Rattus norvegicus: one gene and its partners. The protein of the gene in region 1 binds, or shares a complex with, the protein of each later gene. Links are inferred from orthologs where the notes say so. Each region holds a gene or a part of one and is shown on either strand. Other genes may lie near its edges. The genes, in order: Brd8, Anp32e and Epc1.

What was found.
Region 2: Brd8 (region 1) and Anp32e share a complex: the UniProt entries of both Homo sapiens proteins name them as parts of the SWR1-like complex. The link is inferred for Rattus norvegicus from reciprocal best matches to the Homo sapiens genes BRD8 and ANP32E.
Region 3: Brd8 (region 1) and Epc1 share a complex: the UniProt entries of both Homo sapiens proteins name them as parts of the nuA4-related complex. The link is inferred for Rattus norvegicus from reciprocal best matches to the Homo sapiens genes BRD8 and EPC1.

What each region holds. Positions count from the first base shown.
Region 1 is NC_086036.1:26,501,066-26,505,338, forward strand, and holds the start of Brd8 (bromodomain-containing protein 8), read right to left. Parts: upstream 2,942-4,273; 5' UTR 2,924-2,941; coding exon 2,905-2,923; intron 1,915-2,904; coding exon 1,818-1,914; intron 1-1,817. Other genes in the region: kinesin-like protein KIF20A, read left to right, coding at 3,857-4,018. UniProt on the Homo sapiens protein: May act as a coactivator during transcriptional activation by hormone-activated nuclear receptors (NR). Isoform 2 stimulates transcriptional activation by AR/DHTR, ESR1/NR3A1, RXRA/NR2B1 and THRB/ERBA2.
Region 2 is NC_086020.1:186,168,068-186,171,716, forward strand, and holds part of Anp32e (acidic leucine-rich nuclear phosphoprotein 32 family member E), read left to right. Parts: intron 1-152; coding exon 153-321; intron 322-978; coding exon 979-1,133; intron 1,134-3,649. UniProt on the Homo sapiens protein: Histone chaperone that specifically mediates the genome-wide removal of histone H2A.Z/H2AZ1 from the nucleosome: removes H2A.Z/H2AZ1 from its normal sites of deposition, especially from enhancer and insulator regions.
Region 3 is NC_086035.1:59,212,966-59,216,614, reverse strand, and holds part of Epc1 (enhancer of polycomb homolog 1), read left to right. Parts: coding exon 1-197; intron 198-731; coding exon 732-880; intron 881-1,913; coding exon 1,914-2,073; intron 2,074-3,649. UniProt on the Homo sapiens protein: Component of the NuA4 histone acetyltransferase (HAT) complex, a multiprotein complex involved in transcriptional activation of select genes principally by acetylation of nucleosomal histones H4 and H2A.

The DNA of each region.
Region 1 (4,273 bases):
TGAGAGCATATTTTGCTGCTTCCACATAGACTCCAAATCTGTTCTAGAAACCCATGTCAGCCAGATGTTTCATAACTGCCTACAACTCCAGGGGATCTGATGTCCTCTTCTGGCTCCCAAGGGATTCTGCACTGATATGCCCAAATAACCCCAATACACAGATAAACATACTTAATTTTTGAAATAATAAAGAAAATGGTTTGGCAGTTCCTCAAAAAAAAAAAAGAAAGAAAGAAAGAAGGAAAGAAAGAAAGAGAGAAAAAGACCTAGAGCTACCATATGAAGACCTAATTCTGTCCCAAGGTGGCAGTCCAAATGTCAGGTAATGAATATGTAGTTGACTGTCCATAGCCAGGAGATGTGCATTCTTGGATTTCCTCAGCCTGGGACATTACAGCCATGTCCAAAACCAAAAAGCTATCTGTACTTGTACGCCCTAAACCAGTGACTTCAATCTTCCTAAAGCTTCGTCCCCTTTTACAGTTTCTCATGCTGTGGTGACCCCCAATCATAACATTATTTTTGTTGCTACCTCACAATTATAATTTTGCTACCATTATGAATTATAATGTAAATATTTTTCTAGACAGAGGTTTACCAAAGTGTCACCACCCACAGGTTCCTCTGCCCTAAACCATTCACATGCTATTTCATTGCATTAGGTAATATAATCCAGAGATAATCTGGAGTATTCAGGAGGACAGGTGTTGGTTATATGCAAATATGGGATCTTATGTAAAGGAACTGAGCCACCACCATCTTTACCCCTCAAGGGTGCTGGGACTCAGTCTCCATGGGTATGGAAGGGATGGTTGGTTCATGTTTTCATCTGGCCAATACTAGAAAAGTATTCATATGTTACATGTGAATAAACCTTGAAGAGTGGTATGTTAACTGACTAAAAAGCTGGTCCCAGAAGACTACATATTATACCTAAAGGATAGCCAAGTCTAGGAAAAGTAGATTGCTCAGGGAAGAGAGGGAGTGGTAAATGTAGAGACTTTCTTATTTTATGTATATGAGTACACTGTTGCTATCTTCACACACACACCAGAAGAGGGCGTCAGATCCCATCACAAATGGTTGTGAGACACCATGTGGTTTCTGGGAGTTGAACTCAACCTCTGGAAAAGCAACCAATGCTTTTAAACTCTGAGCTATCTATCTAGCCAGACTTAGTTTAAAGATTAAAGAAACTTCTTAAATTGCAGGGACGGCTGCACAAGTTTGTGAAAATAGAAGAAACCACCACTATTTTCCCTGCCAGTAGGCTCATTTTATGCTTTATGATTTGTATTTTGGTAAAGCTGACCTCTACATAAAGCTTAAGGTAACTTAAGGAATACACTGAGGTGAAAAATACTTAGTCCTGGCTAGCCTGATCCCATATGTCTTTAACTCCAGTACTAAGAAGGCAGAGGCAGGCATTCTGAGTTCAGGCTAGCCTGGTCTACAGGATGAATTCTAAGATAACCATGGCCACACAGAGAAAACCTGTTACAAAAACAAACAAAAGAACAAAGAGAAAGATACTCAGCCCAACGGGTCAAGAAAGCAGATATCTGGGGTTGGGGATTTAACTCAGTGGTAGAGCGCTTGCCTAGGAAGCGCAAGGCCCTGGGTTCGGTCCCCAGCTCCGAAAAAAAGAACCAAAAAAAAAAGAAAGCAGATATCTGGGGTTGGGGATTTAGCTCAGTGGTAGAGCGCTTGCCTAGGACGCGCAAGGCCCTGGGTTCGGTCCCCAGCTCCAAAAAAAAAAAAAAAAAAAAAAAAAAGAACCAAAAAAAAAAAAAAGGCAGATATCTTAGATTCCTTACCAGTTCTGATCCCCACTCCTCATAACAGAAGATGCTAAACACAACTTCTCTCGGATGGACCATGGTTCTGTCGGGCCAGTACTCAGCAGCTTGTGCTCTGGAAATAGAGAAAGCTCAGAAACAACCTCCGAACTAGTTCTGAGCCCCAGAACAGCTAAAAGTCTGATATAAACCAACACCCCAGGCAAATTGTGGAGTGGTAATTCTGGTTCTCAGGAAGCAGAAGCAGACAGATTTCTGTGAGGCTAGCCTGGTCTGCATAGTGTGTTCCAGGTCAGCCAGGATCAGTCACACAATAAAACCCTGTCTCAAATAAATCTTAAATTAGTTCGAACAATGTGAACTACTATTATCAATTATAATCACCAAATCTTGAGTTTTCACCATTCCAATGAAATATTACCATTATTGACCAGGGTGCTTTCATTGAATACACATTTATAGAACATTGTGTTTAAATGCCATAGCTTCAAGGTGTTCTGCTTCCAAAAGAAAAAAAAAAAAAAAAAAAGAAACTGGCAGTGTTACGTTAAAATAAGGTTCTCATTAAAAAAAAAAAAGTTTTAAAATTGTTTGAACTCGGGCGTATTTCCCAAGATTCCAATCGGCCACCGGCTCCTACTGCCCACCTCCTTTTTTGCATAAAGTTGTTTACATCTCAGCTCCTCCCCCCAATCGTCGGGTATAAAGAGTTCGTTGGTGAAACTGAAAAAATGGCTGAAATACACGAGATGAGTTTCCCCCGGTGTCAGGAAACGCCTACATCAGCAGATAATCATTTCGACTGCTTCTCACAGCCTGGTTAGATAAACAAATGAGTCGCTGGCCACTTCATACTACCTTTATGTTTTACCCCAGAGAGCGTCTAGCACACAAAGGCTTCCTAGGCTGTTTTTCACCAGCTTCCGATTCCTCCCACCACTGTTAAAACCCCAGGTGGTGGTTCTGAAAGCGACGTGAAAGGCAGGTCTCTGAGTTTTGCGCTCTCTAACAACCCACTCCTTCCGCTCCTTTCGTGCCTGAGAAATGGAATGCCTAGTCTGGACTCTACAAAGGCCTTGACCATAAAAGCTGCTCCGATACTCACTGCCTGTCCCGGTCGCCATTTTGGCTCCGACGTCTTCAACGATTGCGACAGACGCGAGGAACTCTGGGAAAAACTGTATGAGTCCGTTCGCGGTGCCTCGTGGGTAATGTGGGTGGGTCTGTTTCCTAATAGACGCGAAATCCCTCTAGGAAAAATTTTCTTTTTAACTAATAAAGGACAAGCTGAAGCCTCCGAAATGAAACGTCTAGGTTTAGAACTAAGTGAAACGAACCCAATAACGAACACCTTGGAAGTGACAGTTGGTAACCCGGACCCACATTGAAAGCAAACGGTCTTCCGGTCGCCTCTGCTCACTCCCTTTTGCTGATTGGTTCCTTCAGCCTTCGCTTTCTGATTGGTCGGATAAGCTCAGCGCGCATTTTAAAACATTGTATGAGGAACAAAGCTGTTCCTCGTGGGCGGAGTTGTGTTCTCCGTAGCAGGAGTCGTGGGTCTCAGCTGGGTAGAAGCTGGGAATCAGAGAAGCAGCGAAGCAGGCTGTCTTCAGGTGAGTGCAATTGGGATGGAACTCCGGTTATCAGAGTGCAATTGGGGATGGAACTCCGGTTATCAGCTGTTGCTTGCATATCGTAGTCCTCAGAAAGCTCCTAGGTCTTTCATAATTTCCTAGTTCTCGTGGTCTTTGGAGTGAGTACCCTTTGGAAAAGTACCCTTGGGATCTGAAACACACATGCATTGGCAGGCCTGGACAGCCTCTGTGGAGCGTGGCCTTCTGTTCTTCGTGCCTATTCACCTTCAGAAATGCAGCTTCGGGCTGATTTAGTTGTTCTCATTCTCTTCCCCTTGGCTGTAAAGGTGTATAGTCTCGACCAAAGCAAGGACGTCGCTTTTTAACCAGGGGACTGTTTAACCTAAGTTTGCAGTTTTTGTGCGTTAATGTTCTACCCATCTACTCTTGTCTCTTTTTAGACATAGACTGACCCTGCTTGTCATGTCTCACGGGATCCTTTCTCCGCCAGTGGGCTTACTCTCTGATGAGGATGTTGCAGACTCCCCCGTGTTAGAGTCCACAGCTGCAGATCTGAGGTCTGTGGTCCGAAAGGACCTGTTGTCAGATTGCTCTGTCATCTCGGCCTCTCTGGAGGACAAACAGGTAAAGGAGTTCTGTGGCTTAGGAGCAGAAAATGGTATCTTCAGCTTAACAGTTATTTATACAAGGTAGTATGAGATCAAAGGCTAGTAATTCCTGACAGAGGCAGAAAATAGCGCGGATCTCTGTTAGTTCAAGCCCAGCCTGGTTGACCAAGTGAGTTCCAGGACAGCCACGACCACCCAGGGAAGCCCTATCTTGAAAAACCAAGGGGCTGGGGATTTAGCTCAGTGGTAGAGCGCTTGCCTAGGAAGCACA
Region 2 (3,649 bases), on another chromosome or scaffold:
AGCTGCTGCCTGTATTTGGGGGATGGCCTTAGAACCCTAAAAGTGTGAAAAGTTGTTCTTTGGCTCCAAGTGTATGTTCTCACATCCTTCATTAAAACTGGAGAACACAGTGTTTAAGATCTTGATTGTAGCCTTGAACTTTACTTTTTCAGCAAAATCTTAAAAATTTGAAAAGTCTTGACTTGTTTAACTGTGAGATCACAAACCTGGAAGATTACAGAGAAAGTATTTTCGAACTGCTGCAACAAATCACATACTTGGACGGATTTGATCAGGAGGACAATGAAGCGCCCGACTCAGAGGAGGAGGAGGAGGACGAGGGTAAGGCTTCTATTTCTGTTTCTCATTCGTTTTGAGATAGGGTGTCTCTACAGAACGCTGGCTGTTCTGGAACTCACTATGTAGACCAGGCTGGCCCCAGACTTAGAGAACCACCTGCCTCTGCCCACTGTGTGCTGGGATCAAAGGTGTGCACCATGCCTGTCAACAAGCAGGCTTTGAAATGACCACAAAGTAAAACCAACTTCAGTGTGTATAATGTTTGAAAATCTATTTTGGAAAGGTCCTTTCCAGTGCCAGGATGGGGCCATCCTCACACGTGCTAGCTATGTGCTGACCTGGATCCCCAGGCCTAGGAAGGGCACTTCTTGGGTGACATGTAACAGTGCTGTAAATGGATGGGTTTGGGGCTTTTTGTTTTGTTTTATCGAGACAGGGTCTCTCTGCTGTCCTGGAACTCTGTAGATCAGGTTGGCCTCAAACTTAGAACCACCTGCCTGTCTCCCCAGTGCTGGGATTAAAGTGTGCACTGCTATTGCCTGGCCGGGATTTTTTTTTAAGCAGGGTAGGGGCACTTGGTGGCACTCGCCACAATTAGATTAAGGTGTTGGAATGATTTGGGCAAGAGTGAGGAGGGCCATGTACCAGGAAGACAGATTTGTCCAGATACTCGCTCACGTTTTACAATGTTTTTTCAAGATGGAGATGAGGATGAGGAAGATGAGGAAGAAGATGAAGCTGGTCCACCTGAAGGATACGAAGATGAGGATGAGGATGAGGATGAAGCTGGCTCAGAAGTAGGAGAGGGAGAAGAGGAGGTGGGCCTCTCATACTTAATGAAAGAAGAAATTCAGGTGAATGGAAACTTGCTATTCGCCCTGAAGACAGTTGGCACAGGGCTAAGTGCTGTGAGGAGTAGGTTGTGAGTCGTTTCCTGACGTGTGGATAAGCATCTGTCTTTTCTCTCCCTCCTCCTGGGTGTTCCATAATATGTCCAGATAGCTATAAACGCTTGGTTTTTTGTTTGTGTTTTTAGCTCAATTACAATTGTTGTTTAAAAACTCTCGGGGCAGGTGAGCCATAAGCCTCAGCAGCTCCTGGGAAGAGAGTGGAGGGAAGAAGGGGGAAAAAAAAGCCATTATGGTGCTAAAGCTGGCATTGAGGTTGGACAATGTCAGACCAGCGGTCACAGGGCAGGGAAGGGGTGTGGAAGCCCACGGAGTCAGAAAAGGTGTAATTGGGCTCTGGCCAGCATTCAGAAAGAATGAGAAAAAGGAAAAGTTGCCTCTTTTGACTTGGGTTTCAGAAAGGTGGGCAGAGTCAACCGAATCTCATGGCCACTGGTAGGAACTGTCATTGCCTGCTCTTTATCTCCTAAGTGTGTGAATTGACTCTGCCTTTAGTGTCACGGGATGCTGGAACATTTTGTGAATGTCTAAACATTTTCTGAATGTCTGAGCCCCTTCCTGCATTTGCAAGCTCATGGAGTTGCTTTAACAAGGGGATATCTATAAAACACCTAGTTCCTGGTTGATCCATTGCAGAGACCTGAGATTTCTTACCTTCAGTTATCTCTTTATGCTCCTGCAGTAGCTTTTCTTCCTTTTTTTAGTTAAAAAAAAAATTGTGTGTGCACCTGTTTGTGAATGTGGTGTGTGGATGCAGTTGCCTGTGGAAGCCAGAAGAGGGTGCTGTGGAGCTGCACTTACAGTGGGCACCACAGTGTTGGAAACTGAAGAGTCTTAACCACGGGCTTAGGTACCAACCACTACCTGCATTAGCTTTCTGAGCGGTCTCTACCTAGGACAGCTCTGAGCAGGGATGTCTTCCACTGTGCCCGGGTATGCAGAGACACTCGTTACCCTCCGCGGTGTGCTGTCATGTCTCTCTCTTGCCACTGACGCATACAGGCCTGCCCTTCATTCTCTGCTACCCTTAATCTTGATTAGGCTTTGTTACCTGGAGATGGTCTCGTAAAAACCTCTCTGCTTTTTATCGAGTGGTGAGTTCTTTACATGGGGGCTGTTAATCTAACAGCTAGTACATTGAGTGGGAAGTAGAATGAGTGATCCTTAACCCCTGGGAGTTTAGAGAAGTTACCTTCTCGTTATGTTAAAGTAAGTTTTATTTTCACAATTTGAAATACTTGTTTCTTTTAAACATCTCTCAATGCTAGGGATATAGCTCAGTGATAGTACACTTACCTGACATTTTTAAGATTTATTTTATGTGTATCAGTGAACGCTCACGTGTATGTCTGTGTACCATGAGTGTGATTGGTTCTTGAGTCTCCTAGAACTGGAGTTACAAATGGTAGTGAGCTGTTATGTGGGCATTGGGAACTGAACCTGGATTAGCCAGTTGAGCCATGTCTCCATCTCCTTCCAATAATCTTTTAAATTTGAAATAAATGCACAAGAATAAGGCATGAGGCTTCTTTGGATCTTTATGAGTCGTTAACTGCTGCACAGTAATGAAGAGAAACTGAAGCCTCTCTTTAGTTTACACCATCATACAGCGTGATAGTTCTTTGGATTTGATTCTTTGGATTTTCTGCCAGGGATATCCTCCCTGAGTGTAAATGGTAGGTGCTTTGAAGGTTTTGTTTTGAGAGGTGTGTAGGATATTGCAGGTTTTAATCTGCATCCCAGGCTGCACTGAGTTGGTGGTCTTCCTCCTGAGGGCCTCCCATCACTCTTGCCTTAAACGTTCCTTTCAGTGACCTGCGTTGATTGACATGTAGGTATATTGTTCTGCTGGATTTTTGGTGATACTAACTCAAAATGCCATGGCCGAGCCTAGGTCAGAAACCTCTTAAGTACACACAGCATTGAGTTTTGCAGGACGAGGAAGCCTTTCATTCCACATGGGACAGCTTAGATGCTCAAAATGAAGTCTTAGCCGGGGGTGGGGTAGCTCAGGACCATAATCCCAGGTGTCCCGGAGGCAAGGCAGTAGAATTGCAGGAGTTAGTGATAGCATAGGCGGCCTACTGTGCTGTAGGGTAGTCCAGGCTACAGAGGAACCTCGGTCAGAACAAACCAGGCAACTCCAGAGCTCTCGCTTTTAGGAGCTAAGTGCCAGTCGCGCTTCAGAGACCATTGCTGCTTACAGGTGAAAGGCAGAGATGGTAGGTTTGACTGCGTTGTACCTTCTCCTTAGGAGGGCTGCTGTTTATTATATAGTATGGTTATTTTGTCTGGATGTGTCTGTACTGCGTGTATGAATGGTGATTGCAGAGGCCAGAAGAGGAATAGGATCCCATAGAGCTGGAAGTACAGATGTGGGCCACAGTGTAACTGCTGGGAGGAAATCCATCCCTCTGGTTAAGTTTACCTCTTCAGAATAGGGTCTCACTCTGTAGCTCAGG
Region 3 (3,649 bases), on another chromosome or scaffold:
TGCAGGAAGCCAAACTACTTCTAAAAGAAGATGATGAGTTAATTAGAGAAGTTTATGAATACTGGATTAAAAAGAGGAAAACCTGCCGGGGGCCATCACTTATCCCGTCGGTAAAACAGGAAAAACGAGATGGTTCTAGCACAAATGATCCTTATGTGGCTTTTAGAAGACGAACTGAGAAAATGCAAACTCGAAAAGTAAGTAAATTTTTTAATTTTATGAAAAATTATTAATACCTTAATTTTGTGACTTAATTCTGTGCTTTTACATAATATTCCTTAAAATTATACTAGAGGGGTTGCTCAGTGGTTCTGAGCTTTTGTTTCTCTATCAGAGGACAGTATTGCAATTCCTGTACCCATATCAGGCAGCTCATAAGCACTCGTGACTCCTCCTGCTCCAAAGATTCTAGTGCCCCACTTTGGACCTGGGGGCACTTGTACACACACACACACACACACACACACACACACACACACACACACACACACACACTAACTTTTTTAATTACACGAGAAATTAGTAAAAGTAGTTGACCTTTAGAGTTTTTAATGGAGGTCTTAATATATATTAATACTGATTCACTTAAAAACCAGGTCTGGAATTGGTATCTTGGTGGTCTGTGTTCCTCTCCGGTGTCTTTAAGCTGTAGCCCTACAGATCCATACACTTTTATGTGCCAAGAATGAGAAGTGCTTCCTGATGTTAAGCAAGTAGCTTTATATTTCCAGAATCGCAAAAACGATGAAGCCTCCTATGAGAAAATGCTTAAGCTGCGCCGGGATCTCAGCCGGGCTGTCACCATCCTGGAGATGATCAAGAGACGTGAGAAAAGTAAACGGGAGCTGCTGCACCTGACACTGGAGATTATGGAGAAGAGGTGAAGCAAGTTCTCAGTGCCAGGACCATCGTGTTTTCCTAATCCGAAGTTTCAGAAACATTTTCTTTAATAGAGACTGTGGGTTAAACTGTGAAATTTTATACACAATTCTGTCTTAATTTTCTTGCAAGGTGATTGGGCTCACTAACAGCACATCAGGTGTTTCTATTGAGAGATATTTTATTATTTTTGAGTTGTGTGGCTGTATGAGAGTGTGTGTGACTGCTAGTAGTTTATTTGTAGTGTTTTGTGGGTTTGTGGGGGATTTTTAGTACTAGAGACAAAACCCAGGGCCCTGCACAACCCAGGCAAACATTTCCCTGAGCTCCCTCAGCACCATGATACTCAGATGACCACTTAGTGCCATGCACATGACATGTACATAAAAGCTCGTTCTCAAGGCCCTGCTTCTCAGCTCCTCCCCCCCCCCAAAAAAAAACACACTTAAATTTCTTATGATTCTTTCATAAAAAAGAAAGTACTTTTGTAGCACAGACAGTCCTAATTGGCAAGGTGTTTTTGGCACTGCTTGAGGCATTTCAGCCCTGAGCCGAGCTAAGACTGGACGGCTCAGGCGTTAGCCCCATCAGTAGAGTGCGCCTGTCAAGCATGCAGCTCTGGGTTTGAGCCAGGTGAGCCAGGCATGGTGGCTCGTGCCTGCAGGAGGTGCTTCAGAGGTTCTCTTGTAAAGAACCTGGTTTGATGCTCAGTACCCTGTGACATCTAACGACTTTCTGTTAAGCTTAGGTCCAGGGGTCCAGTATCCTCTCTGGCCACATGGGCATGGCACACACATGGTGCACAGACATACAAGTCGGCAACGTACCCATATGCATTTAGGGCCACTGTTGAGTAGCACGTGCGTTGAAAGTCGTATGTTACCCCACCTACAGCAGGCACACACGGTACCCGAGGAGGTGGCTGTTGAGTGAGTGAGTGAGTTAGTTAGTTGGACTGTAGATCATTTCACAGTGTGTATGGAAGCATCTCATTGTACTCTGTGTATAGCTTAAAGTTCCCTTTGTAATTTCAGGTATAATTTAGGTGACTACAGTGGAGAGATCATGTCTGAGGTCATGGCACAGAGACAGCCAGTGAAGCCTACCTATGCCATCCCCATCATCCCGATTACTAACAGCAGCCAGTTCAAACACCAGGACGTCACGGATGCGAAGGAGTTCAAAGTTAACAAGGTTATTAGAGCTTTGTAACAGTAGATCCAGTAAACAGGGAAAACCATGAATTCCTACCGCAAGGGATTTCTGAACACTGAAAATAAGGGACACTAAAAATGGGGAGCTTTTCACGACAATTTAATTTCCCTTGCTTCCTTACAAGGGAAGGCTTTGCTCTCTGTCTGATAAAAAGAGGGGTTTGCTGAGAGGGGGTATGAAATGTTGGTGTGGTTAGTGGTATGGAGGCCTGGAGAGAGCATGAAGCCTTCCACCCAGTGTAACGTTCTGGGCCACATCTGTGTGTCAGTGTCAGGCGGGTCTTGTCAACGGCTGGTAACGTGGGCAGAAGTGGAAATACTTTGACAAGTTGATATGTCCTAATTTGTGAAGAGTAAAATTGGTGAGGGGGAAATAAAATTAGTAAGGAGAAAACCAGGGGAATAAGAGAGAGCCGGCAGTGTGCCTTTCTGATAAATGCACCTTAGCAGGGAAGGTTTTCATATACTTGTGACCTAACATGTATCATTTAACTCAGACTTAGCATTCCATTTCAATTGAGGAAATAATGTGATCTGCTAATCATTTATTATCTAACCTGTTCTGTTTAATATTTTGTGTCTGTGATTTTTTTTTTTTTTTATAATTTGGTGTATAATTTACCGTACCATTTGGAATGGTGGTTTCTGCAGCATAGACTTTTTCCCTATCAGAGCACTGACCAAGACTATTTCAAACATGTTGGTTTTGAAGTATTGAACTGTTGAACAGATAAATAGAAGTATTCTCTTTGGTAATCACAAATGGTGGCTATTAATCCCAGCAGAAGCTGTGCCTGGCAGATCTCTTGAGGTTGAGACACAGCCTGGTCTACATAGTGAGTTTCAGGCTAGCCAAGGCTACTCAGTGAAACACCTCTATCCAATTACCTCTGCCAAAAAAAAAAAAAAAAAAAAAAAAAATGCTAAAGGCCATGTTCCAAATACTTGTGTGCTCATAATTTCCAGTCCTGCATAGTACAGTTTTCCTTGTTTTTATATTGAAGTCTATTGTCCACCTGTCTGAAATATATGGCCTTACAAATCACTTCAAAGGTGTTACTTTGATTTTTATATTTTGGGATTTAACTCGGATTCTAATTGTACAACATTCATTGTTCGTCTGTATGTTCCAGAGACATGAGCCATGCATGTGGTTCTGGTTTACCTTAAATCCTTCTAAGTCAAGACAGAGTCATTAGTGGAATAGGCCTGCTGTTTTGAACATTTTCTTATTTAAATTTTCATTCAAACTGTTTTGTTGTCTGGCTGGAGAGCTGGGTGAGCAGTTAGGAGTGCCCATTGTTCCTGCAGAGGACCTGGGTGCAGTTGAGTTGCCAGCACCTACGTGAGATGGCATACAGTTCTGTAATTCCAGTTCCAGGGGGTCTGACAGTCTCTGGCTTTTGAAGACACCTGCACATACACATACACTTTTAAGTCTTTTAAGCAAATGTTTGTTTTGAACAGAGCAAATGTAGATTATTAGGGGAAACTGAGACTGACCCTCTGAGGGTAGGGGGGCCACCAGAGGGTTGCCTGAGCCTCTTTTAATAGTT